4 linked regions of the Astyanax mexicanus genome follow. The protein of the gene in region 4 interacts with the protein of the main gene of each other region in a pairwise test. Links are inferred from orthologs where the notes say so. Each region holds a gene or a part of one and is shown on either strand. Other genes may lie near its edges. The genes, in order: natd1, dhps, cdkn2c and nif3l1.

Region 1 (6,934 bases), on a different chromosome or scaffold from region 4:
CACGAAATGGCATTTAATACTTGATCACTTGCATCTTTTATTTTGTACTCAAAACTTAATCAAACAAGCTCATGAAATGTCCACTGAGCTGGTCAAAACATCAGAGTTAGGGTCAGACCTGCGCTGAGTTTGGAATGGTTCACTCATTAACTCCTTTACTATTCACTATATTGTGGCGGCTCTGGGTTGTGTGTGTGGCTGCCTGCAGGCATGTTCTGTTCTCCTGTGTGCGAGGATGACAGGGGTGGGGCATCTCCCTTGGGAGGGGTTATGCAGAGAGGGTGGGCACCACTCTGGATCTGCCATCTGGGAGACACACAGCTGGGTTGGTGGCCTTTGGGCTAATTAAATCCGTGTATCATTCGTTCATTTGATATTCAATTGAGAATCAAAATCGGAAAATTAAAAAACCAATTCGTTTTTTCGTTTTTTCGTTTTTGAATATAATACCAAAAAACGAATAACGGCTTGTATTTTGTATTTTTATTTGGTTATCCAAACAAAAATTGGAAATTTAAAAAACGGACCAGGAGCCGAATTTGATTTTGATTTTGAACTTGACCCATTTGTGTGCCCCGGAAGTTACTGATTTGTTTATTCTTGGTGGGTTTCTGTTGCGCGGGAGTTCACTGCAGTGTTATCTACACAGTCTGTATTGCTGTAGGCAGCATGGCCGGACTGGAACCACATTCTGGCCTAATTAAAGATCTTTTTGAAGGTGGTAAGACGCATGAAGAGATTTCGTGCACGTTGCAGCAAATGGGGATCCAGCGATGTTCTGCAATGAGTGTTAGAAGGTTCTGTGTTCAACACGACCTTAAGCGAAAAAGACATGTATTTTCTGTTGTCATATCGTCTTCTTTCACTGCAACGCGTTTAGTTCCTCTGAACAAGATAAAACTCTCCATCCTCAACTCCATCCAAAGCCTACAGCAATACAGACTGTGTAGATAACACTGCAGTGAACTCCCGCGCAACAGAAACCCACCAAGAATAAACAAATCAGTAACTTCCGGGCACACAAATGGGTCAAGTTCAAAATCAAAATCAAATTCGGCTCCTGGTCCGTTTTTTAAATTTCCAATTTTTGTTTGGATAACCAAATAAAAATACAAAATACAAGCCGTTATTCGTTTTTTGGTATTATATTCAAAAACGAAAAAACGAATTGTTTTTTTAATTTTCCGATTTTGATTCTCAATTGAATATCAAATGAACGAATGATACACGGATTTATTTAGCTCTTTGGTTTAATGATTTAGCTCTCCTAGTCTTGTTAAAGATTCTGAGTGAGTGGCAAGCTGGTTCAATAAAAGGAGCTGTTGAGCATTCAGCATGAGTCTCACGGGTCTTCCTTCCTCTTCCACGCCACAAAATAATATTTGCTGTTTAGGGAAAACCCAAACAACAAAACATCTTGCATAGTGCTTTTCTGATGACATTACATTATGGTATACATTGGACATTTTTTACAATGTGTTATGGGTGTTCAATTGTAAACTTTATAGGAAATAAAATGTACTGTTGAGATTTCAAACTCTACAAACACACCATAATTTTCACTATTTCTGTAACAGGGAGCAATTCTGAACACTGTATCAAACCCTTTGTAAAGATCACTTTCTGGTTGTTCCAGAAAATATACATTTTAAGAAAATATAAATATTTCCTGATAAACATAATTGCAAAGTGAAAAAAAAAACAATAGGAGGTTTCTTACAGTGATGACATTGATTTAAAGGGTTAACAAAGAAAGACTTTTCTGTAGTTTTTAAGACCAATCTGAAATATTATTATCTGAAATGTATATTGTCCTCCAGCAGAATTTTCTTGTAATAACCTGACTTAAAAAAAAAAACCACTCCTACAGTCAGAGTAATGTTACAGCCCATCACTAAACTGAACTGAAGTAATGGTTTCCAACAGAAATTCTGAAATAGTTCTATATTTAATCTGGGAGTTCTAGAAGCAGCTCTCGAAACCATAAATCCTAATCTACTTCAGCTCACTGTGAACTCGTTTACCTTTTTCATGTTGTTCCTTTGTGTGTTTATAATTCTTTTATAAAACTCCTGTGTGCATTATTAGCAACTCTGTCTTATAACCAATATAGGAACTGGTTTCCTGGCAACTAATTATTAAGCCTAAGCCTAAACTAATAAGGATTTTCAATTGAGCATCATTGCTGGCACTGCAATTGCACTTATTGAGAAACACTCTAGACCTTTAATCCATGCTGGCCCGTGAAGTTTCTGTGCATGGATTTGCAACTGTGCTTAAAGTGTATATGCACCAATGAGCTTTGATGTTCAAAAACCTGCCTAATTTGGTGTAGGTAGGTCCTCCTTGTTCCAGCAAACACACAGTGTTCTGAAGTGTGAACTGAGGCACCAATATTCAGCAGCAAGTCCTGTAGGCCAAGGTGGGCCTTATGTCTGTTATTGTTGTTAGAATTCACCAATACTCCCTTTATATTTTATATATTACTTTAAAGTGAGTAATCAGTGTTTTTCACTTTACATTTTTTTTATTGTCCAATAAAAAGAGCTTTTGTTCTGCTATGTATTTGTTTAGAGTAAATGACATTTACTAAAAACAAAAAATATATCACAAATATAACAAATATAATTACTTGAGTTACTTATTTATATTTATTTTTTATTTTTAAAAATGTATTATGTAGTTTCTCTTTTTTTTACCTGATTAAACTATTTATAACTATAACTATTTTTTTCAGTTTCTTTAAATTCTTTATAAATGCACTAAAAATGCTGCATTGAAATAATAAAAAAAACAAATAAAAAAAAAAACAAAGGTTCACTAATTGATTCAAAATGTTTTTTACATTACGTTAGACATTTTAATGTTATGGCTTATCTGTGAATTTTAATGAGTGGAATTTAGTTTTTTTTTCTAGAAAAATAAAAATATAATTTTTTTTATTATTATTTTTTTACAATTCATTCTTTCTGACTACTATTGGCCATGAATCCATGTTTTTCACTTAGTTTCAGTTGTTTTAAACTTATTTGTTTATTTTCATTAAGGAAAATGTTTTTTTCTTGTCTTGAGTAAGTAGAGGCTTTTTTATTATATGACCTATTATATATTTAGTTTTCATTTTATTAAAATTCATCCACTGCTATCCAGATACTTTTGGGCAAGTGACCTACTATTAAAATACTTTGGCAGTTTAATTTTCTGACTGTATCAAGCTAAATTCGAAAATAGAAAATTGGGTATAAAACTTAATCATTGTTTTTTTTTCACTCAGTAAAGTGAAGAAGAAATGGGTTTCCATCCAGTTTTTCAATTATATAGTTTTTCATTTCAGCCTTTGGCAAACAGAATTTCAAGAAAAATGAAAAAGTGAATCTTCTCTCGCTTTTCAGATGGGTCCATTTTTGTATCTTGTAACACATATCTGATGGTATAATCCTTGCAATATGCAAAAATGGAAAAATCAGAAAATGAAGAAAAGATTCCTTTTTATTTTTGAGATGAAAAATATATAATTGGATAAATTGATAAAAAGTATTTATTGTACACTGCATTACATAAAAACCAATGAATTTTTACATCCAATTTTATATTTTTGCATTTAGCCAGTCAGTCAGAAAAAACAGTCAGAAAAAAAAATAATAAACGTTACACTGACCATGGCTGATCCGTGTATTTTTTTTGTTTGTTTTTTTGAGGGAAAATGTTTTTTTTTTAGAAAAGGCTTTTTATTTTATTAAAATTCATCATCCACTGCTAACTGTTATCTGGATATTTTTGGCCCTGCGTGGTTACAGTAATACGGTCTCCATCTAGCGGTCAGGTGCGGCAAGTGCATCACGAGGCCGCGCATCAAAACATTGCCTGCGTGTTCTGATTGGCTGAGGCGAACACGTGGGCTCACAGCTGATTTTTTTGGATGGAGTGTTTTTTTGCTGGGCTGTCTGAACGCCCTCAGTCCGCCTGGGCCAGCCCGGCTCTCAGCCTGCGTCTCGGGGCTGCTGCTGCTGCTGCTGCTGCTGTATCAGACGCAGCGCTCTCACCGACTTTTAGCGCACCGCTGCTCCAGCACCATGGCCCAGGCCGCCCAGATCAACATCCTGGAGATCAGCAGCCCCATTCGGGTCGAGCACGACAAGAAGCGGCGGCAGTTTAGCATCCGTCTCAACGGTAAAGAGGCTGGAGTTGGGCTGGCGGGGACAGGGAGAGAGCAGCGCTGCAGGGCTGTACCTTTGTTTTCATTACAGCCTCGGCTCGGCTGAGTGACACTGGCTGGCTGGCGGGCTAGCGTTAGTTAGCCGGCTGGCTAGTCCTCTGGAACTAGTCCACAGCAGTGCTCACAGCTCTGCTCTTCACTGCTGCTAGCTCAACACTTTCCCTCTTCTCTGTTAACAGTCATTTAACCTAACTAGTGAACCTAGTTAACAAGCTTAGCAACATTAAAACATAGACTTAAGTAACTAGTTAGTTGAATCTCGTTCGTCCTGTATTTTTTCCTGTAAAGCCAAAACATTAAAACCAAGCGTTAACCTAGGTTACAAGTTCGCCCGCTAGCTTAGCTTAGCTAATGTATATGTTTTTCCTCAACCTTAGCAACTAGCCAGCTCTCATTACCCTTAAGCTCGCTACACAGCAAAAATTCGACATTCACGCCCGTTTAACAGCTTAAACCTCGAGATTCAGGTGAGGAAAACTCATTTTAGAAAGGTCTTTCGTTTGTTTGGAGATATTTTCGAATGTAAACACAGATTTAGTTGCTTTTCAGCTGTATTTTGTTAGCCAGCCCTCGTTTGACTTCCTGTTACATCAATAACAAGAGATTATCTGTGCAAAACAAAACAGACACACAGTTGTTTTTTTCCTCTGTCAGTGTGGTTTTCACTGAACCCGTAGCTGAAAACCTTCAAACCCAAGCTTAGCTTTTTCTATCAAAGAAGAAAAGCAATTTATGGAGGCTTAGTTAGCTAGTGTAAAATGGGTTCGTCGATGAAGTGAAGCATTCATTACATTTAACTACATTGGAATAACCATTTATTAAACTGAAAGAACAGTTTATGCCCCAAATTAAGGGCACAGGCCACTGACATAGTGGTAATTGAATAGCATAATAAAGCATTCATCCACTTTTAAAGTAAAGATAGTGTCATTCTTGTGATAGGCCTATGTGATGCAAGATAATATATTGCTTAAAAAGCCACTAAACTCTAAAACATACCAGTCCTGCTTAAAATGTTTATAAACATTTCCTAACCTTAAAAAAACGCTTTTATTAAGGTAATTTCCGCCTGTACTTTGGTACGCAGACACATCACAATATACAGATCAATCGATAATACCACCCCACTGCTGACATCCAACCATCTGGGTCCTGCCACTGTCAGAGGCACGCTGCTGCTGCTGCTGCAGCTCAGCCAATCAGCTCTGCCTCCTGCCCCACCTCTAAACCCATACATCACCCAGTGCCCCTCCCAATCTACCCCTCTCATTTTTTAGCATTTTTCAAATTTGAGCTGAGGGTGGAGTCAGCTAAAATTAGGGGGTTTAGTAGCCCTTTACATGTTTAAACCAAAATGTTTAATTTATTGTGATATTAGAAAAATACTTGGAAAATCTCAATTTAGGACAAGTTGACATTTTAAGCAAACAGAACAGTGGGATCTAAGGACAGGGTACAACAGTGCCTTTTAGTGGACAGGGTTTAAACACAACACAAAATGAACCACCTTCCGAAACCAATATTTACAAGTAAACTAATAATTAAAGACCTACACTGTATTGCAAAACAAAATGTAGAATCAATATTTTCTTGCACACCTAGAGGGAACAGTTCATTAAATTAAGGCAAACAATTGTTAGACTAAGATAAGAATGTATTAAATGTAGATAACAAACATCTAAACTGAGGTAACAATTATGTAAATTGAGGGCACACTTGTAATTATTTACTTAAATGAGGAAACAACTTACTAAACTAAGTTACTGTTACATTGAGTGAACAAATTGTTGAACTGAGGATGCAGTTTTTTTTAACATCAGGGGATGGTTTGTTAAAATGAGGAAACCATTAATCCGGGAGAACATTTAATGTATTTACCTTTTTGTTCTACCTTGATACATCAGGGGCGGCATATCATTGACCTAATTAACCTATTTTGACCTACATTAGCGTCATAATTCTGTTTATTATTTAGCATTTTCATAATTACCCAGGGGGAAAACTCAGTTAAGGAAGGTTGTAAACTGTTTATACTGTGCTTTTATAGCAAATCATCAAAGCAAATAAAAAATATAAATGAACACAACTGAAAAACTCAATAATTATAATTTGTATCATTTTTAATATTAAACAGTCAATAAAGCCAGAACAAATCACAGATAACTGAGGCCTACACATATATATCTTGTAAAAAAAATCTGGTTTGTTTACAATACTAATTATTTTTTACTCATCCTTTGTTTGGTAGGTTCTTATGATAGAGCCGTGTTGCTGTATGAGTATGTGGGGAAGAAGACTGTGGACCTGCAACACACTGAGGTGCCAGATGCCTACAGAGGACGGGGCATTGCCAAGCATTTGGCCAAGGTGGAGTTTTATAACTGTAGATAGAGTGAAGAGGAATTCATGTATGAGTTATGACCTTAATTTATCTGTCTCCGGACTGCCAAGAGTGTGACCAATAGGCCAGTGTTGGCCAGTAAGAATCCAATGTCAGGATAACAGAAATTTGATTTGTGATCTGTGGGAATGCCATGTACTGTGTTTTCTTTAAATATCATTTAAAGCTAATAGACATTTAACATTTATATGGGGGCTACATTTCTGTTGTCATTTCAGTTAAATTAATATAATGCAGATATTTCATAGCATTTATTTAAATCCTCCAAATTCCTGCTCTGTTTGGTTTTAATAAAGGCAATTAATCAAATATTGTTT
Region 2 (7,265 bases), on a different chromosome or scaffold from region 4:
CCAAGAAGATGGTACAGCCTGAACGACCCTGCTGAGAGTCACCAGCGTCCTGCTGCTCCTCCTCCGGCTCCTCCACCACCTCCAGCCTCTTCTCAATCTAAACACAGCACAGGTATTACAGGTCCTTCAGAAGAGACAACATAAGATTTATGTCCAAATGTCTGTGGTTTACTCTTTTTCAGCTGTGTATTGGCAAGAACTTGGCGATATGATACATATCAAAATGCAGATAATAATAATAATAATAATAATAATAATAATAATAATCATTTTAACAAGTTTAATAAGTTCAACTTATATATCGCCTTTCCCAAACCCAAGGACACTTTACAAATACAGAAAAAAAAAATATATATATATATATATATATATATATATATATATATATATATATATATATATATATATAGCAAGATATTGCAATACTGTTAGCAAGGCAATATAAAACTAAGTAAGTTTAAACTTTATTTTGTACCCAATCAGAACACTGCTGTCTAGTGGGCGGGGTTTAAACCTAAACATAGAATGAACCACTTCTGACACCAATCTTAACAGCATTGAGATTTGAAGTGGAACTGTATTCTCTGGACTGATGGTGCTCCATCCATTACTGTTAAGTAGAGATGAACAATGATATTAAAATTATATCAGTACTGGCTAAAAATTACTTTTTTTTTAAACCAATATTTACTGATCTATCTATTGTATGCCGGAAAAGTTGTAGTGGGATTTGTGGTCTTCCTGTGAGTTATAAATATGTACATATATGTGTATACATTTGTAATATTGGCCCAAAATTTCTACATTAGTGTATCCCTACTTTTAACATATAGAGGGAAGTTGGGGAGATGTTAAATGCTGCTTACACTGGATGTTTATGCAAATGAGTGTATATACAGAACCAGTCAAAGGTTTGGCCACTTGGACACTATTATGACTCAAGTACTACTAAAACAATATGACTAAGAAATGAAGGTCAATCCGTATCCTCAAATGCAGTCACTACAAAGACTATCACAGAAAGGTTATGATGAAACTGGCTCTCATCAGGACCACCCCAGGAAAGGATAAGCAAGAGTTTCCTCTGTTGCACAAGACACGTTCATCAGTAATCAAGTAAAGTAGACAGAGGGAAAGAGTCTCACCATTTTGTTAATCTCCTGCACGGCCAGGCCGAAGCTGCTGGCCTGGAAGCCTGTGGTGAGGTAGGAGTGCAGCAGGGCTCGGTGATCCACCCCCTGGTTAAAGTCGTAGCCTCGGATCCGCGGCACGTCCTCCGGCAGAGCGGCGCTCTCCTTAAGCACCGCATCCCTGGCCACGGAGGGCACACTGTCCGCCATCTGTAGATAATGCACAGAGTACAGTAATACTGTCACCATTACAGATATTTAGGTTAGGTTACTCTTACAATAACTGATATTTTAAGTGCTGTAAATTTGATCTAAAAACTATTTGGTAGCAGAGACTTCCTGACTGTCAGCTGTGGTGTTTTCTGTAACATGGTGGTAAACACTGGTCACTCCGATTACTGCTGTACAGTAAAAAATCCAATGTTCTTTCTGTCTTTTTCTCTCTCTCACTTACTCGATTTTCAATTCCACCTTAAATGCAGCACTTAGGCTTGTGTGCTTGGTTACACAAAATCTACCTTCACCATGCGTTAGTCGAACAATAGGCTCTTTTTCACATAACAAACTGCAGGAAATGGCAAATAAATATTCAGAGTATGTAGAATATAATTCAAACAAACCTTAAATTCAGGGGTTCTTTTTGTACTTGTCAAAAGGTGACAAATTTTATTGAGATAGGGATTTCATTTTCCAGCAGGACCTGGAACACTGCCCGCACTGCCAAAAATACCAATTGGTCTTACAATATAATATTCTAATGTTCCTGGTTGTAAGTCATTATCATCAAAAAGAAAATAAATAAACATTTTAAATAGATCACTCTGTAATTTTCACATTTTGAATAGAATTACTGAAATAAAAAAAGTAACTTTTCAATGAAAACCTAATTTCTTTGAGATGCACCTGTACACTGAATAGCCCTATTTGAGTAATGTTCTAATCCATATTATGAGAAGCAAGACCTACTCAACTAAGTAAATAAAAAAATACTTTAAGAAATGAAGGTCAGTCAATACGAGAAATTTCAAGAAATTTAAAAGTATACTCAAGTGCGGTTGCAAAGACAATCGAAAACACAATGATGAAACTGGCTCTTATCAGGAGAGCAGGAGTTTACAGCCTCAGAAATGATGCAACAAGCATCAGAGCCACCTCTTTTGGTTTGTTTAACACTTTTAAGTTACTACATGACTTCTTATGTGTTCCTCCATAGCTTGGATCACTTTAGAATTCATTTACAATGTAGAAAATTATAAAAATACAAAAACATTTACTAAAAAATTGTGTCTTTTGACAGGTAGTGTATACTGTACAAGTCCAGGCTGTATTTGACTATTTTTTCTTACTGGAATTTTCTATTCCACCTTAACTAGAGCCCTGGATACACTCAGGCTTGTGTATGCTTGCTATATGTCTACACAGGATCTGCTGCATCATTTAAGGTGGAATGAAAAATTTGCTCTGCACAGGTTCTTATGACTGAGAGAATGAATAATAGTGTCGATAACGACAAGAACACTTCTAGAGAAATGGTTAAAAAAGGCTTTTATTTATTTAATAAAAATAAAAACAGACTTTTATTATGGGTGTGTTATTGATACAGCAGCAGCAGTGCTGCAGTAATATAAGCAGCTAAATGAGCTAAAGCTAACAGGACTGTAATAATAAACACTGATCTGAGAACAGCTTTCTTGTGCAGTTATTACTGACTGATACACACACTTACCCTGCAGGAGCTGAATCCGGATCAGGAGCTGGAGCTATTAATTATCTGTATTGATCTGTATTTATCTGTTATCTGTGTTCAGGAGCAGATGAAGCTACACTGCAGCCTCATCACTCACACTGATCCCACGTTGTTGCTACAAAGTACGGCGGCCACGTTGGGACAAACTAGTGGAGGGAGACGGATTTCGCGTTCGAACAGTTTTTATAAACGTTAGATTAAATCAATCAATTTTTTAATTATATATTTTTCTAATTCTTTATTTTCACACAGTAATATATTAAGGGCAATCCTCATTTTTAATGCAGCAAGCATTTAAAACTTGAAGGGACTAAAAAATAGATTTAATTTGAATTAAAATCAAGAAACTTCATAAACAATATCATAAAAAATAAATGGAAAAATTATTAGAAAACAAGCAAACAATATAAAATTGAATAAAGAAGAAGTAAAATAATTCAGAATAAAAGCTTAAGTTGACAGGCAAAAATGTAAAGCAATAAAATAATAAAATAATTGCAATAGTACAATTTATAAAATAAAAAATAAATAAAAGGTTCAATGAATGAAATTTCAATATAAATAATGAAAGGTAAAAGGCCAAAAGTTTAATAAATGAAATAAATAAAAAGACAAAATAAATCAAATAAAAAGTAAAAGGTAAAAAAAAAGGTAAAAAAAAAATCAACTAAAACAGTTAAAGTTACAATAATTTAGTGATACCGGTCAACCCTTATTTTTACTCTGTAATACATTAAGGGCAACCCTAATTTTCAATGTCGCAGAGCATTTAAAACTTGAAGGGACTAAAAATTTTAATTAAAACGAAACTCAAGTATTTAATCAGGAGAGCTAAAATAAGGAACTTAAACAAAAAAACAAAAAACAAAAGATATGGTAAAAGTATTTGAAAAACAAGCAAAAAATATAAGATTTGCTTTAGAAGAAATTAAATAATTCAGAATAAAAGGGGGCTTAAAGAACACTCAAGTCACTTATTTAATAGAGCACTTAGAGTCTGTCTATAGAGTCTGTCTACTGTCTATCGATAATTTTAAGAATGTCTTACCAGTTAGTTCTGAATATATAATTTTAGTTAAGCTCAGTTAGCACTCTGAAAAGGGATCTGGGAGACAAAAAAAATAATAAAAAAAGCATAAAACAACCAACAAAACATAAAAAAACAAATAAAAAAATATTTATAAACATATTTATTTCTGTAAAAATGTTGAGCCTTTTCTTATTTTTGACATGCATTTACTAATGTGACATTTAAAAGAAAATGTCTCATTTAGCAAAATGTCTGTTAACAAGTATATGCGTTAATATAATTCATCCAGGTATTGCAGGTCTTTCTTTCCTGCTGCTGTTAGACTCTAAAACCAACCCACATATACACACTTCATAAACACACACTTAAATACTACATACTTATAGAAAATATATGTTTTTTTGTGTAACATAATGTAAAATATTTTTTTTCTTTATCCCAATGCAATTAAGAGGCAATGTGCAATGTGCAATTATTTGTAAATACAATCTACAATCTAAAGAGTTTTTGACTTTTTATGATTTATATTGTATATATTATATTGTTTATTTGATCTATTTTATTGTAATGAGTGCCTTGTTATCCATTTGCTGCTGAAACACTATGAATTTCCCCACTGTCGGACTAATAAAAGAATTATCTTATCTTATCTTATTTTATTTTGTCTTATCAACAATATTACAATAAGGATACAATAAACAATAAAACAGGTTATTTGGGAATTGTAGCAAACAATGATATAATGTAGCAAAGTTCTGATATGTCTGAATTAGATTTTTAATCTGTTTAATGAATTTAATGTATTAGTTTTATAACATTTGTACTGTTGTTAAAATATTTATACATATATAATTATTTTTATCTTATAAAAAATCCATTATGAATAAACTGGGTAAAAGCTAAACTGACACACACACACACACACAGGTCAGCAGCTCTATATATCCCTCCAGGGCTTCTCCTCTGATAGTGTGTGATGTGGGCCTGACCTTTCCACACCTGCCTGTGTGACCTTTCAGCTCGGCCACATCACAGAGCTGTGTGAAGTGGTCTTCAGAGTGACCGCAGGTGCCCGGGGGGGATGGAGGGTGGGCACAGGTTAAATAACCTCCACCACGACTCTCAGTTCCATATCTCCATATCACACTCCATATCTGAGCAGGACTTGGATGACCTGATGAGGAGCTGAAGGATGGAGGCTGGGAAGGTGTACAGCAGCAACACCGTCCTCCAGGCCAGGAAAGCGGTGGAACAGCTGAGACTGGAGGCCGGCCTGGAGAGGATCAAGGTAGGCAAAAGGTCATGTAATAACTTAAAGGTGTTAAACAAACCAAAAGAATACTCTTTGAAGCACTTACTTGTGGTTTCTGAGGCTGGTAACTTTGATGAACCTTTCATTTTCCATAAATGTAGTGGTCCTGATTAGTGCCAGTTCCATCGGAACATTTTTTGCGACATTGCGACTGCGTTTAAGTTTAGTTTCAAAGTTTTTGAAATGTTTCGGGTTGACTGACCTTCATTTTTTAAAGCTCATGTCTGTAAATTTTGGGATTTGGGGGATTTAATGCCCTCTCTGGTGAGAGTGGGTAATTGCACCGAGCATGCGGAAGTCATTTTAAACTGGGCGGGTGTGATGGGGTCTCCTTTCAGAGCGGATGAATCCGATTCCAGGTTATGTTCAGTCAAAGAGAGAGAGAGAGAGCGCTCAGTCAGAAACTTCACTCCTTCGTTTCTTTGCTTTTACTATGAGTAAATGAATGAGCTACTGAGCTCTGAGTTTCCCCTTCTGAAGTCTCCATTGCTCCACCAGCTGCTCGTGTTCAGTAAAACTGAGCCGGATCCTCTTTTAGAGGCTGTACTTGTGACCCAAGTATGTAAAGACACATGACATGGCCAGAAGAAGAACTCCCGCGAAAAGCGACATGACACCCAGCCTGAATTCTAGGTGACTCTACCTCATAAAGCTGACTGAAAAAAAATCAGCCAAGAGGGGCTACTTTGAAGAATCTAAAATATAAAACATATTCTAGTTAGTTTAACACTTTTTTGTTTACTAAATAATTCTATATGATTTTCTTCATAGTTTTGTAGAATGATGACTTTATTGTTAATCTGCAATGCAGAACATTTTAGAATAATTAAAAATAAAAAACTCTAAATTTAATGACTTAAGGCTTTCTGAATGAAAGAAAGTTTGATGCTACTGTTTTAGGGTCTCAGAAGAAAATGTATTGTTGAAATTTTGATTCTTCTTCCTAAAAAAACAAAAAGAAATAAGCTAAGTAATAACCTTAACCCTATTGGCTGGGCGTCTGGTGATAGTGATAGTGATGTAATGCCATGTTTCTTGCAGATTTCGGCTGCAGCTGCTCAGCTGGTTCAGTACTGTCAGGAGAACCGGCGTGGAGATCCACTGCTGACCGGCATCTCTGCCTCATCAAACCCTTTCAAAGACAAGAAAACCTGTGTGCTGCTATAGGAGAACCAACAACCATGAAGCCACACATGCATCACTAATAAAGACAATGAAAATTCTGGTAATCTGTAAGAAATAATATAGCATATTTATATATAGCATATGTAATATAACAAGAACACCAAGCAAAACCTACATAATATTTTAAAGATGTTCTGACTCAATGTATCTATCCATCAGTATAGCTTTTGCCCAACTTCCATGCATCCCACACATCAACTTCCAGAAATGACTGTTCACTTGCTGCCTAATATGTAGATAAGATAAAAAGTGCCAATATAATGTGATAATCAATGTTATTTACTTGAATATTCAGGCTGATTATTGTAGACTGTATATATATTTATATTATGAAAGGTAATACCCAGTAGTGGTATCTAAAGCTCTCTTTTAGCATCACTTGTGTTGTAAATGTTCTGTATTATGGATTAATTTCACAGCTTTAACTCTGTATAATGTACTGTATGCGTCCACTGACAAACAAGTATCTCCATTTTTGTTGATATTTAGTTCATTACGTAATTTAAACAGACAAACTGTCCTTTACACTGTGCCAAAATGTCTTGATAAAAAGACCAGTAGAAATACTTCAAAATGACTTGAAATTAACCCTTTTTATATCTTTTTATAAGTTTTTTTTCTCTTTCCTGTAAAGTTGCTGTTTTGGAGATACTTGTTTTTCGTTGGACAGCGACTATATACACTATTACTATTTAAAGGCAATGATACATCTTGTTTAAACTTTTTTTGTCTTTCTCTGACAATTCAAATAAGTGAAACATTGATGTTTTTGCCTTTTTACTGTTTTTTAATGCACTGCAATTTAGTTTTCAACTCAAAACACAACTCAGTTTAAAAAAAAAACACACATTATATGATCAA
Region 3 (7,298 bases), on a different chromosome or scaffold from region 4:
GCAAAAGTAGACAAGCTCCACACACGTGATGAAGAACCATTTTAAAGATAAAAAGCTGTAAAGAAAAATAGAATATAAAGCTGTATTTACCTAGTGTAATGATAGGAGGTTGGAAGCTATATAAATGTGACAAACAATGAATCTCATAAACTATTGTCTCTGCATTTATAAAAAAAATCCGGCATAACCAAAACAAAGGTACAAAACAGCCCAATTCAAAAATCTTGCTGTTAAATTTGCTGCTTTGGGTCAAATTCATTCATACTGGCCACTGGATATTCAACATGGCACCTCATAGCAAAGAACTTTCAGAGTTGACATCGATTATCGATTAATTGATAATTTATATGTGTAAAGTGAATGTGTTTTTAAACAAGTTATTACTGAACTCAGAAGATGAAATCACAAAGGTAATGCTTGGGACTTTGGGACTTATTTTTTAATTAATAATTCGTAATCTTGTGCATGTAATGTTGTTAATGTATGTGTAGTGTTATAAGTTAATATGTTTTTGTGTGTATTTGTAAATTTAAAATTAATCAATAAGGTTTCTTTACAAAAAAAGCAAAGAACTGTCTGAGGATGAGAGAAATGGCATTGTTTCACTGCAAAAAATATAATCAATCAATCAATCATCCTTTATTTTCACTCGGGAATACATTAAGAGTAATTCTCATTTTCAATGCAGCCGAGCATTTAAAATGTAAAAGGACTGAAAAAAACTAAAATTAAAACCATTTTGATCAGGTTTAGCTAAAATAAGGAACATTTATTTAATAATAAAAAATCAGTATAAAAGGACAAACAGACTTATAGATAAATATTTTATTGAGGTTTCATGTGTGCAAATTAGTACATAACTGTGAAGTAGAACAAAAATGATGCATGGTTTTCAAAATTTTGACATGCAGCCATGATTTTTCCAGGATTGCTTTGTATTTAGCTCTATCCATCTTCCCATCAACTCTGACCAGGTTCCCTGTCCCTGCTGAAGAATTGCATCCCCACACATGCATGATGCTGCCACCACCATGTTTCACAGTGGGTATGGTTTGTTCAGGGTAATTAGAAGTGTTACTTTTCTGTCACACATTGTGCTTTGCATTTTGGCCAAAAAGTTTAACTTGTGGCAAACACCGCTTCTTTTGTCTTTCTTTCACCACTGGTTTTGTTCCTTATGGAAAATAAAGGCCAGATTTGTGGATTGCACGACTCCTGTGGTAGATCTCTGCAGCTCCTCCAGAGTGACCATGGGCCTCTTGACTGCTTCTCTGACCAGTGCTCTCCTTGCATCACCCTGCCTCTCCCAAACTACCCCTCCCATGTTTAGCATTTTTCAAATTTGAGCTGAGGGTGGAGTCAGCCAAAATTAGGGGGTTTAGTTACACTTTAACTCATTAAGTGACTTAATGCCTAAGTCCTATCTGGACGGGATTAGTTTTTTAGGAGGACGTCTGTGAAAATATTTCACACTTCTACTCAGTGATAAAACTCTTGCATCCGGAGGACCAGTGAGTTTTTAGGCTTTCTCGGTTACATGACATTGCGTTCAGTAGCTCCTCCATTTCCACTCGCTCTTGTGTTTACATGTTTTTTTGTGGAAACACGTGCCCAATGTGTGTGGCAGTGGACAAATAGCTATTTTATTAAACATGAGGAGACGAAACTCAGAGATGTGTGTCTGGACAAGACTAAAATTACTGGAGGACCACAGAGTTCAGAGAAAAACAGTAGATAATTCAGCCTGTTATTTTTATTAGAGGACGTCATACATGGTTCGGGAATAAAATCACAGAAGGTCCCCCATAATGTAGAAAATTACCCCAGGACCCCCTGAAAAATGTGCACGACTCCTGTGATAGATTTCTGCAGCTCCTGCAAAGTGACCATGGGCCTGATGGCTTCTCTTACCAGTGCTCTCCTTGCTCGATCTGTTGGTTGTAAGGTTACAACCAATTGCTTGTAAGTTTTACCCATTTTATATTGTAAGGTATAATATTGGTCTTTACAGGGTCACATGTGTCTTTCCTAACAGCAGGAAGTACAGATTTGTACCATTTAACCAGCCAAAAGGTGCGTTCTGTATTCTGTATCACTGTACTAATAAATAATATATATTTTAATTAAATTTTTCATTTGAAAGCCAGACTATTTTGGATCATCATGTTTTTGACGCATATTCAGTTGATGATCATGTTTATAAACTTTATCATCTTTACTGGTACAAAAAACGTGGGCACAAAAAAGACTTTCGCTGGAAGGTACTCTGTTGTACCTCAGTATAAGGTACAACCATAGCGGTATTAATACATTTGCAAGACACTGTGGATGGATGGATGGATGGATCGATGGATATATAGATAGAGAGATAGATAGATTTGTGTTTCTTCGACTTTAGATGGTTTACCGTTGAGCCCCGCCTCCTCCCTCGTCTGTTAGTGAAAAGTGGGCGGAGGTCTCTGTCCTTTATTTCAAAAAATGAGAAATGAGTGATGTCAAACTCTCTCTCTCTTTCTCCCTCTCTCTTTCTCTCTATCTTGCTTCCCTATTTCCCACAGCGTCAGCTAAAACCCAGTACCTTCCGCAGGGACACGGTAGGCTGGGGTAAAGTGTTGGGACTCGGGACAGCGCAGTGTTACAGATCTGATTTTGTTTAGTTTTTGTCGTGTTTTTCCGTCATGTAGCGCTGCTGTTTTTACTATGTAACCATAACAGAAAGTAAGTATTTATGTATGTCCAGAATTACTGCCTCCTATATCTGGCCTTAACGTTAACTACACGCAGCTACACCGCGGTTTTACGTTAATTCAGTCGTCCGTTCATATTTAATACACATTAATAGATTTTTTTCAATATAACAGACTTAAACTGAAACACTTTATTTGTCTGCTCGTGGTTGGTTTAAAAAGAAACTGAGAGACCTTCAAGTCATATATAAATGATCGTATTTACGAAATGAGTACAGATGAACGTGAACGTCACCTCAAACACTCTAACATACAGTATTTACCAGTGGGAAACTTTACGAGTGGGGGTGAGTCAATACAAAACAGTTTATTAATGTATTTAATTAACAGCAGCTGCTATCTATTTTCTAATCGTTTTCCCTCATCCACACGTTAAACAAAAATCAGATACTGTATCGTTAAACGGATACAAAAAAAATGTTTTTCTGATTGTTATTCGTGTCTTTTCCATTCAAACCCCTTGAACTCCAAAGTCAGTCGTATGTACGAACTTCCGAGGTGGACTTGAAGGCAGCACGACTTCTTAAAGGCAACTTTCGCTCCCTTCAAATCGTGTCGGAATTATGATATTTCCGATATTACTGCATGTGAATGGACGCCACAACCTGGCGACCGTATTCATGTGAGTATAAAACAGGGATTTTCCCCAGTTTTCCTATTTATAAACCCCGACTTTACAATTCGGGGGCGTGTCAATATAAACCCTTCGCTTATTTAGCAGCAAGTGCAGACTATTCTCATCCACGCGTGAAAAGATGAGATATACACCTACATTTCTACTGGATGAGAAAAAAACGCCCACCTTGAGCTTATACAGTGCTCTTTGTTTGTTATTTATTTATTTTGTTTCGTTTACACTAAATATCAGCGCGTAAAGTGAACCTGTCAATATATACAGCTCTGTTGGCAACAGAAAAACAGAAACAAACGAAAGAAAAAGCTGTCTTCCCATGTGTTCGTGTTTTTCAAGCCTAAACACACTTGCAATTGAACAGAAATCACGTCGTGTACGTATTCAAGTCCGAGCTGGCAGCACAAGCTCCGACTTTATTATATACTACTTTATTTTTTACTTAAGGGGGCGTGTCAATACAAACCGCTACTTTTACAGCAACTGTTTTGCATTTATTTTAATGATTTACTCTTATGTTTACGTGAAAAAATAATATCAAAGAGCTGAAAAAGTACATACCCTTGATACTTACTGCATAATATCGCTCACAGAATTGGAAACAAATAGACAGAAGTAACGTTACTGAACAAAAAAAATGAAAGAAAAAGAAAGAATTACTTCCTCAGCTTCTTCTATGTGTTTTTTTTTTTTTTACCTAAAAACCGCTTAAACATGAGCAGTGAGCAGAACTCGCGTTGCACTGGGAAGCGCTCCAAAGTCAGTCGTAACCCAAATTGTTACGAGGCAACTTTCGTGGTGAACTTGAAGGCAGCACAACTTTGAACCACGACATTCAAAGTTTGAAACGGGCGGGAAACTTCACAGCGCACATCCTCCGCAAAGTCATTGGGTGGCTGTGTTTTTTTTTTTTTTTTTTTTTGACGTGACACTGTTTGACTCTACGCTTTTTTAGCTGTTATCTGTGTTTCACACCTCGCGCGTATATGTATATACATATATATTTTTTCATTTTACTTTACTTAAATTGTTGGGTTTTGTATCAGCCTAAACGTCTTCGCTCTTAATGCGCGGACCTTTTTTTAAACTTAGCGCTTTTATTATTATTATATTTTTCCCCCCTGAGGCTCAGCCTGCACCTGCGTGAAGGTAAACGCTTGCGATAGAGGAGCGGATTGATATGCAGATTGTTTTGCATGCTTTGTGAGGGGTTTATTATTGTTTATGCAACACGAGCTTTTTGAGAAAGAGAAAGAGAGAGAAAGAGACTGTCTTTTCAGCGCTGGAGCTGCTGCGTAATGCTGCGTGATAAACTGTTTGTCTTATTTTTTGCAGTGCAATATTTTTTATATTTTTGCGTTTGTTCAAAGCATTTGTTTCAAATGCAACGACTTCTAGAAAGCAGCTCAGCCCGGCTCTCCGTGGCGGCCACGGAGCAGCTGCCCGGGTGAGCTTGAGGACGCCGGGACGAACTTCGGAGGCTCGCCGGCTGCAGATCGGACACGCTGCTGTGCTCTCGCAGGTGGTAGCCGGAGCCCGCCGGAGCGCGCCGGAGCCTCCCCAAGCCTCCTGCCGGTGCTGCCGGTGCTGCTTCCCGGATAGATCCGGCGTGAGATCCCCCCCTGTTTTCCATGTTGGCTACAAATTTGCTTCACTGTTGCGATATTAAAACAAGGGCGGGCCTTGGCACTGCGCCATTTTTTTTTTTTATTTTAGGGGGAGGTGGGGTGGGAGCTGGAAGAAGGGTGTATTTACTACACTTGTGGAGGAGCTCCGCGTCACACTCGGGCATTGTCATCTAAGGAAAGCAGCACCAGCCGCTTGCTTTGAAGTAGAAACCCGTTACTTCGCGGCGCGCGGCTCCGGTTGGGTCCGGTGGAGATGGCCGAAGCCACAGTAGATAAACTGTGCAGCGCAGCTGCAACAGGGCAGTTCAAAATGGTCCAGCAGATCCTGCAGTGCAACGTAGACCCGAACAAGAAGAACGAGTTCAACAGAACCGCATTACAGGTTGGAGAACCATAAAACAATCGACGATGACTTTCTTCACTTTATTAGCTTTATTAGTAATGTTCCACTGCAGGCTGATAATCAGCTCGTGCTCTAATAACACAAATATATATATATTAGGTAGTTAGCTCTACATTATAACCGCATTAACTAATCTGTCAGATATATTATCTTTATGTTTATTAGTTAATTGGTATTTTTGCACTGCAGGCTGAGCATCAGCGCATGCTCTAATAACACAAAAATAGTAATGATAGTAAGGTAGTAAGTGGGTAAGGATGGGTAGTACGTGTAGGCTATTTTATATGATATTTTTTGGCCTGTTTTAATGGCATTACTCTATATTTGTATTACTTAAGATTGCTTTAGTCAGTTTAATGGTAATTCTATATTGTTATTCTAAATTGCTTGATTTCTATTACATTACACTACATGGATATTAGGTGTATATCATATGATATTCTATAGCCTTTTGTAAATTTCATTACTCTAGATGGATAGTGGGTGTATTTTATATGATATTTCATTGCTTGTTTTGATGACATTACACTAGTTGGACAGTGGAGGTTTATGATACGATATTTTATGGCCTAATTTGAATTATATTACTCTATAAGGGTAGTTTAAAATCTTTCGAGGAGTCTTACAGCTTTATTAGTATTTTTAGATTTTTTTTAGATGGGTAGTAGGTGGGTATAAGTGTATTTTATATATTTCATGGCTTGTTTTGAGGACATTATTCTAGATTCTAGGTTGTAGATGTATATTGTTAACTCCATTTCCTTTAAATTAGCTTTTATTAGATTGCTTTAGTCGATTTTACAGCAATTATATATATATATATATATATATATATATATATATATATATATATATATATATATATATATATATATATATTTAAATTGCCTTGTATCTATTAGATTACACATTACAATTTTATATGGCAAATTGCCTGCTTTCTATTACATTACACTAGATGTGTATTGGGTGTATATCATATAATATTGTATAGCCTTTTTTAAATTACATTACACTAGATGGGTATTAGATGTATTTTATATGATATTTCATGGCCTGTTTTGATGACATTACACTAGATGGGCAGTGGGTGTATATGATATGATATTTTATGGCCTAATTTGAATTATATTACTTTAGATGGGTAGAAAATCTTTCCGGCAGTCTTACAGCTTTATTAGTATTTTTGCACTGCTGGCTGATGATTAGCGTGTGCTCTGATAGTAATGATAGTAAGGCAGTAGATGGGTAGTAGGTGTATTTTATATGATATTTCATGGATTGTTTTGAGGACATTAGTATAGATGGGTAGTAGATATATATTTTTAACTCTATTTCCTTTCAAGTACTTTTTATTTCATTGCTTTAGTCAATTTTATAGCGATTCTATATATATATATATTTGTTAATTGCCTGATATGTATTACATTACTCTAGATGGGTAGTAAGTGTATTTTATATGATATTTTATGGCCTGTTTTAATGACATGACACTAGATGGGCAGTGCGTGTATATGATCTAAGATTTTATGGCATTCTATTTGATTGTTTTAGTCAATTTTATGGCAATTCTATATTTTTTTATTTTAAATTATATATGTTTATTTTGCCTGTTATCTATTACATTACACTAGATGGGTAATAGGTGTATTTTTTATGATATTTCATGGCCTGTTTTGCTGACATTACACTAGATGGGCAGTGGGTGTATATGATATAATATTTCATGGCCTAATTTGAATTATATTACTTTAGATGGGCAGTAGAAAATCTTTCCGGGAGTCTTACAGCTTTATTAGTATTTTTACACTGCAGGCTGATGATCAGCGTGTGCTCTGATAGTAATGATAGTAAGGCAGTAGATGGGTAGTAAGTGTATTTTATATAAT
Region 4 (7,942 bases):
ATGCTGTTATTACAGGAACACTGTGTCTAAATTGCTTGTTGGTGCCCAACCCAATCTTCCTGTGTAAACCGGTTTAACTTTAGGCCAGAAATCAGGTCAAGGACCACTGCAGCCGAAAAGTATGAAGAAAAAGTATCTGGTTAAAACAAATTAAAATGGCATGTTTCTTATATTATTATATTATAATGGATATCCAGTCTTTTCCACAGTCTCATAAAATAAAACTGTATGTTTGGAAAATGGCACAACCAAGTTATTAGATGTAGAGAGCAAATACAATTAATACAATAAATGTATATAATAGATTAAATTAAAATTTAAATAGTCTTGTTATAATTACTCAGGTTATTCTTTTCTGATGTTAAAATGTGTTTGTTAAACTAAGAAATGGGAACTGGCTTCTGTGATGTGCACAAGTGACTAGATGATGTGAAAATTGAACAATTGGTGGCAAAATGCTCCAAAGCAACAGAGAAACACTGTAAATATATGTAATTGAAAAGCCCAGACTGAGAGATCTTTGTTATTATAGTATGTATTATTATATTACTATACACAGGGGTTGGACAATGAAACTGAAACATCTAGTTTTAGACCACAATAATGTATTGTCCCAGTTCTGGTGGAAACAGGAGAGTTGAGGTGCACATTGAATTCTGCCGTGATTTGATCAGCCGTGGTTTTATGTTTATTGGATAAAATCCGGGTTAGCACCCGAACATCCCTTTCAGACAATGTATGCTGACATTACCCTGGATACTGTGGCTCTTGATGCATCACAAAGACTTGCTGTCTTGGTCACAGATGCTCCAGCAAGACGTGCACCAACAATTTGTCCTCTTTTGAACTCTGATATGTCACCCATAATGTTGTGTGCATTGCAATATTTTGAGCAGAACTGTGCTCTTACTCTGCTAATTGAACCTTCACACTCTGATCTTACTGGTGCAATGTGCAATTAATGAAGATTGAACACCAGGCTGGTCCAATTTAGCCATGAAACCTCCCACACTAAAATGACAGGTGTTTCAGTTTCATTGTCCAACCCCTGTATGTGGCATAACATTTTCTTAAAATGACAATAATATCATTTATTGCAATTATGTCTGGGACAAAATATAGAGACAAAAATACTTATTGTTTAATTCTATTGGAAATTCTTTACACTCTTTGTTGATAACAGTCAGAAAGGATGCAGGTTTCTCCCTCGATTCTGTAAAGACCTTCATTGGCTGGTGTTCAAGTGTATCATCCCAGGACGAGCTAAAATAACCTGAGACAAAAATAAAGCCGGACAACAACAGTCTAATCTGCTTCAATAATCACAGATCAGATCAGCAGATAGAAACCAGGCTGCTCATCAGTTAATCACACACTCATCCTAATTTAATGCATTTAAACTACGTTCTTGTGAGTGACGGAAGACACACACACACACACACACACACACCTCAATAACTTTAATAACCTGTGCACAGTGCGTCTGAAACAGGTCGACAGCTGGCCTGCTGAGGCTTACACCACCAATTACCCAAAGTGGACTCTGGCACCCGTCTCTCTCTCTCTCTGTCTCTCTCTGTCTGTCTCACACACCCAGTGTCCAGCATGCACATCTGTCCCCTCTGTACCGCACATCTGTAAAAAAAAAAAACTCCTCTTCTGTGCACCAACCCAAGCCAAGACATGTCCTCTAAAACTCAGTTGATTAAAGCGTTACGCAACATGTCCAGTTGCTGCGCTTGACCCGCCCTTGTGCTCATCCTTGTGCTGTTTTTATTTTTTATTTTTTTGCAGAAGGCAATAGAACAGGGGGGTCCAAATTTTCGTTTAAAGTGGGCCAGATCGACCCATATAAAAACATTCTTTGCAAAAATACTTTATTTAAAATGTGAGAAAAAACACAAACATACAGAACTACAGTCACTTTTGTTTAAACACACATATATTTTATTTAAACACACATAATATATATATATATATATATATATATATATATATATATATATATATATATATATATATATATATTTTTTTTTTTTTTTTTTTTTTTTACATGCAGCAGGAGATCACACAATACCAAATCTTACAGCAGATTTTTGGAGACTTTTTCCCTTTGTGGATAATACTGCACCTTCTGAGAGCATTACGAGATTCATTCAGTCCAGTCAGAGAAACAAACTGCTCCTAAATATACTGTAGGTAGCTAACCTACATTTAGAATTAATACAAACTTAAATACAAACTAAATGTATCTATTTTGGAACAACTTATGGTAACTTAAGTATATTTCAATTGTAATTAAGCTATATTTAAATACAACATACAAGCATTAAGTTGTGCTTTTGAGTGTTTTTTGCATATAACTTCTGCAAACTTAAATAGATTTGAGTATGTGTTTTTTTTATGATTTTTAATACACTTGATGTATATTATAAAAAAACTATTACTCTAAAGCGCAAGTGTATTTTCATAAAGTATATGAAATAAAAAAATTACTTTTAGTATTCTTTACCTAATTTGAAGATATTTTAATGCTCTTAAGTATACTTCCTTTTCACAAGGGGAGGTAGATTTGGTATACAGTGAATAGTGAATATTTGAGTAATGTTCTAATGCAGATTATGAGAAGCAACAACTACTTAACTAAGTAAAGAAAAAAAAATCACTTTAAGAAATGACGGTCAGAAAAAAAAAGGTCAGTCAATCGAAAAAACTCTGAAAGTATCCTCAAGTGCAGTTGTAAAGAACATCCAAAACATTATGTTGAAATTGGCACTCATCAGGACCGCCCAAGGAAAGGAAGAGCAAGAGTTTCCTCTGTTGTACAGGATAAGTTCATCAGAGTTACCAGCCTCAGAAACAAATGCAAGTTAACAGCTCCCCAGATAAGAGCACCTAAAAGCTTCTTCACAGAGTATTTTGGTTTGTTTAACACTTTTTAGTTACTCCATGATTCCTTATGTGTTCCTTCCATATTCACTTACAATGTTGGAAAAAAAAAGAAACATTTTGAAGTGTGTCTTCAAACAGGAAGGACCCCAATTGCAGAAAAAGTTCACATAAGGTTAATAGTACTACTAGTTCTTTATTATTAATAATGAAGTAATAATATTGCATGATTATCGGTGTATGAAATATTTGTCTTGCCTAATTTCTGAATTGTTATATGCCATTGAAATCAATCAAAGTTATTTATTCTCACGGTTAAAGCAGAGACTGAAACTGCACAGCAGCAGCATTCCTGGCAGATGGTAAAATCACTGATCAAACACAAAAAGACACAGAGATTATTAAATATCAGACACTGTGATCTGACTGGATTGGAAATAACATCATTTGTACCCGATTTGAGTCAGAAAGTCAGTGTTTTAATGGAAATGAAGCACTAAAACACATTGAAATTTAGGTTAAAATGAAAGTAACAGACAGAGTGTAATATAATGACCTCTGTCATTGATTTGCTTCTCATCTCTCCAAAATTCAGGACATTTGTGGCCTCTCTCCATCTCATTAATCCAAATTAATCCCCCCTCTCTCTCATGACCTGGCGTTTTTCAGCAGTATGAGCGTCGCGTGTCGCCGCCGGGGGCCGTAACCCTTTCCTGTAATCAGCTTTTTGCCCTTCTGCCACATCTCTTTATTCTCTGATTCAGGATTTGACTGATTCCCCGGAATCCTGTATTCATTGCGGATGTGGATGGCCTGTCTGTTCACTAATTTCCAGAACAAATCTTCAGAGATCAGAGGACAACTGGTGCATGGCTACATGTATGCTGTAATGTTGATGTTATTATAATGTTTATGTAAACCTCATTATGTCTCTTTATCCCTTGAAGGCCAATACACCAAATATACAGCCATGTCTACCTTTCTACTTCTCAACTTTAGTAACCTGATGATGTCAGGTATAAAACTTATCTTACAAAGCTGGAGATGTTTAGTTTGTGTATAATTACATTAAAGAGAGATTTTAGATTGGTAGAGATAGAAAGTGTGGTAGAAATGTACATTTTAGGAAAATAAGTTATTATATCGACAGAGTATGTCAAACAAATTAAGTTTGAAAAAATAAGTAAAGATTTAAAATAACAATATGTCTTTTGACTTATTCATTGTCGCAACATACTAACGAAAAATATATAGTTTAAGTTAACATTTAAAAACATCGAGAATTGTTTTTGAAAAATACAACAATAAATAATTTATCAATATTTCTCAAGAAGTAATATGATGTATTTTTTTTTTTATAAAATCACATGTGGATATTAAATGCTCTGCTCTGACACATATCTAGTGCACTTTCAATTTCCCTAGCACTTTTATACTTTCAATACTATATAGAACTGAATAAGCAAATCTAATTTAAGCATGCTTCAGATTATTATAATCAAGATGAAGATGGATGATCACAAGCCATCAAACCAATATGAACTGCTTACATTTTTGCACTAGGAGTAAAGGCATAAAGTTATCCAAAAGCAGTGTGTAAGACTGGTGGAGGAGAATATGATGCCAAGATGCATGAAAACTGTGATTAAAAAACAGGGATATTTCACCAAATATTAATTTCTGAACTCTTAAAACTTTATGAAAATGAACTTATTTTCTTTGCGTTATTTGAGGTCTGAAAGCTCTGCATCTTTTTGTTATTTAAGCCATTTCTCATTTTCTGCAAATAAATGCTCTAAATAACAATATTTTTATTTGGAATTTGGGGGGAATGTTATTTGTAGTTTATAGAATAAAACTGTACAATATTTTTTTCTCTCAAATATATACCTATTAATAGCAAATGGTAACTTCTTTTTCTATATATTACGTTATATTAAATTATTTAATCACACTGGTTGTTAATAATGCCTTTTTATTTTTAGCTTAAACTTTTTTCGCAAAAAAAAAAAAAACCTGGATGTCATGTTATGTCATGTATTTTCTTATCCAATCAGCTCTCGGCTTGCTGGTCGGCCCCGCCCCCCGCTTCTGCACATGTGTATGGTGGTGAGTTGAGCTGGGTTTATGTGGTTTTGCTGGTTTTGCTGGTTCATAGCAGTTTTATCTGCAGTATGTTGTTGGTTTGAGCTTTATTATTAATGTGCGCTGCTGTGTTCAGTTAGTTGCTTAGCCTAAATAAACAGGGAGAATTTAGCTGGCTAGGTTATGTAGTTAGCCTAGCATGCTAACAGAAGCTAATGACAGCTAACCAAAACAAATTACAGAACTTTACACCACTGAATCTGTAATTAATCACACAGGCAGCATGTGGACCACGCTGTGGACGAAATGATTAGTTAATAAACGTCTTTTAATACAACTCAAATCGATTTGGCCACGTTAAAATATACTTTTTATTTGAACACGCCATTCCACCTTAAATAGTGCGGAAGGTTGCTATGTAACTGCTGCACCTTTTAAGGTGGAACGGAGAGTACAGCACTGCACAGTGTCTGCTCGTGTATTAGGGCTTTTATTTTATATGTACAATATAATTTAAGTAACTTAATTTAAGTAAAAATAATGGTAAATGTATATTCTGTAGGGTTTTTTTTACGAATAAAAACTGTAGATAGTCCGCATATATTGTTTTAGGTTTTTATAACAATAAAATGTAATATAATACCCTAGTACTGGGCTACAATGGGCAATAATGGACAATATAAAAAAAAAAAATGAAAATGTCATTAAACAGTTACATTATTTCAGTTTAAAATGTACATCTCATATTATATAGATATATTACACACAGAGTGATCTATATATTATAATACTGAAGATGAACATTTACATTAGATAGAACAAAGTGGCTATAAATGAAACTACACTTTTAAGCTAAAGAAAGTTTTGGAATTGAAACAGATTCACAAAAGAGTTTCCCTTTACTACACTGCATATACAGCTTCTATGAAAATTAGCAGTGCTTTCAGACCTTAAATAGTGCTAAGAAAACAAGTTAATAATAATTTAAAAACAACAACAGAACTAGTGTAGTATTGTAAAATACTAACTCAGGAAGAGTTCAGAAATCAACATTGTTGGAATAACCCTGAGTTGGTGGAATAATTCCTGAACAGCAGTTTGATTTTATTTACATTTTCTATTTAAAAAAAATCTATATTCCAGTTAATGTATCCCTCCAATATCAGAATTTTCCTAATTACAAAAGTCTAATGCAGTGCAGCTGCATTATTATTTTTACTTTTTTTTTATGATCCTCCACAGCTGGGGCTTCATCCATGATTCCTGGGTGTAGGATTGTGACCAGAAGACTCTTCAACCTGAGACATTGTCTGTCTTCCCTAAACCCCAGCTGTCATCCTCGCCACCTCTCTCAGTCAGGCCATTGTAACGTTTCCATGGATTTAAAGGGAGTTTTAGGGGTTCTTGAGCAACTGGCTCCACTCTCACTGGCAGAATCATGGGACAATGTCGGCTTATTGGTTGAACCCAGCAGACCACGGCCCATCAAAACCATCCTCCTCACCAATGACCTCACGTCTGCCGTCATGGACGAGGCTGAGGAGATGGCATGTGACCTTGTCATCTCGTACCACCCACCTCTATTCCGGCCTTTCAAACGACTGCTCCAAAAAGACTGGAAGCAGCGATTGGCCGTCAGAGCTGTAGAAGGCGGGATTGCAGTCTTCTCCCCACATACATCATGGGACAGCGCCAAAGACGGCCTTAATGACTGGCTGATAGGAGGATTGGGTTAGTTATCATCTTCAAATTAATCATCATCATCATCATCATTATTATAATACAGTATATTTCTTTAAAAATGGTAACTTGTGATTTTTCTCCTCAGGTCATGGACAAGTGTCCGTATTGAGCCAAGCTCTCTGCAGCGCCCCTCAGAGGCATCGGGTGGAGTTCACTGCTGGAAGTCAAGTGGAGCTCGACAGTATCTTGAAGCTGCTGAAGGAGACAGAAAACAGTGAAGCATTTCAGTACACTCTGCTTAGGTATGTTATTTTCTCACTAATTTACATAGCCAATTACCCAACCCACTCATTGGGACTACCCCTATCACTAGTGATGCCCCAACACCAGGAGGGTAAAGACTACCACGCGCCTCCTCCGACACATGTGAAGTCAGACTCCGCCTCTTTTTGAACTGCTGCTGATACAGCATTACCGAGTAGCATCATAGTGCGCTCGGAGGAAAGAGCAGCGACTCGGTTCCGATACATCAGCTCACAGATGCGTTGTGCTGTGGACATTACCCTTGGAGTAATGTGGGGAGAGAGCGCCATCTACTGTACCCACCCAGAGAAAGAAAGGCCAATTGTGCTCTCTCAGGGCTCTGATAGCTGATGGCAAGCATTAAAACTAGTGGTGTCAATCCATTACAAAAACCTAATTAATAGAATTCATAATAGAATTCTGCAATTGATCAAAATGAATCAAATAAAAAAAATCAGTGTTATAAACACTAAGATTTGTATTATTGGTGCTGACCCCTTAAAAAAGTATTATATTTATTATAACAATATTATGTGACTAAAATCAAAGAATAAATAATGATTATATTTTTTATATGTTGGTACATATAAATTTTTTTACATTTTTTAATTTTTGGGAAAGGGACAGTAATAATGGTGTAGTGTGGGTTACACCTAGCAGATTAGATCCTTTTTTACTGGAATCTCAGGGTAGATTTAATGTATTATAATATTTTAGGGTATGATTGATGCTTTTTAAACTAGAATACTGTAATGTGCCGAGTTTAATCTACCTTCTGAACTACCTGCTGAAGTGTTGCTGTGTTATATCTCTAAAAGCTAATTGTGAGCATGGCATGGCCATTAAAAAGTGAACTAATTCTGAAAAGGACTGAAACTGATGAGAATAGAGTTGGTGGTCTTTCTATGTAAGAGTGATGTTGTATAAAGAACTTAACGAACATGTTTTGTACTATAGCCCATAGACCTATTCTAACGTGTAA

The links.
Region 1: the proteins of nif3l1 (region 4) and natd1 interact in binary tests that used the Homo sapiens proteins (3 or more experiments, as listed by UniProt). The two-hybrid records come from large-scale screens. The link is inferred for Astyanax mexicanus from reciprocal best matches to the Homo sapiens genes NIF3L1 and NATD1.
Region 2: the proteins of nif3l1 (region 4) and dhps interact in binary tests that used the Homo sapiens proteins (3 or more experiments, as listed by UniProt). The two-hybrid records come from large-scale screens. The link is inferred for Astyanax mexicanus from reciprocal best matches to the Homo sapiens genes NIF3L1 and DHPS.
Region 3: the proteins of nif3l1 (region 4) and cdkn2c interact in binary tests that used the Homo sapiens proteins (3 or more experiments, as listed by UniProt). The two-hybrid records come from large-scale screens. The link is inferred for Astyanax mexicanus from reciprocal best matches to the Homo sapiens genes NIF3L1 and CDKN2C.

What each region holds. Positions count from the first base shown.
Region 1 is NC_064426.1:27,674,802-27,681,735, reverse strand, and holds the start of natd1 (protein NATD1), read left to right. Parts: upstream 1-3,916; 5' UTR 3,917-4,073; coding exon 4,074-4,170; intron 4,171-6,464; coding exon 6,465-6,583; intron 6,584-6,934.
Region 2 is NC_064426.1:39,363,998-39,371,262, forward strand, and holds the start of dhps (deoxyhypusine synthase), read right to left. Parts: upstream 3,005-7,265; 5' UTR 2,857-3,004; intron 1,341-2,856; coding exon 1,146-1,340; intron 98-1,145; coding exon 1-97. Other genes in the region: guanine nucleotide-binding protein G(I)/G(S)/G(O) subunit gamma-7, read left to right, coding at 5,100-5,195, 6,261-6,386. UniProt on the Homo sapiens protein: Catalyzes the NAD-dependent oxidative cleavage of spermidine and the subsequent transfer of the butylamine moiety of spermidine to the epsilon-amino group of a critical lysine residue of the eIF-5A precursor protein to form the intermediate deoxyhypusine residue.
Region 3 is NC_064419.1:46,763,181-46,770,478, forward strand, and holds the start of cdkn2c (cyclin-dependent kinase 4 inhibitor C), read left to right. Parts: upstream 1-4,297; 5' UTR 4,298-5,259; coding exon 5,260-5,388; intron 5,389-7,298. UniProt on the Homo sapiens protein: Interacts strongly with CDK6, weakly with CDK4. Inhibits cell growth and proliferation with a correlated dependence on endogenous retinoblastoma protein RB.
Region 4 is NC_064422.1:9,929,044-9,936,985, forward strand, and holds the start of nif3l1 (NIF3-like protein 1), read left to right. Parts: upstream 1-4,938; 5' UTR 4,939-4,998; intron 4,999-5,039; exon of another isoform or gene 5,040-5,061; intron 5,062-6,216; 5' UTR 6,217-6,230; coding exon 6,231-6,705; intron 6,706-6,802; coding exon 6,803-6,959; intron 6,960-7,942. UniProt on the Homo sapiens protein: May function as a transcriptional corepressor through its interaction with COPS2, negatively regulating the expression of genes involved in neuronal differentiation.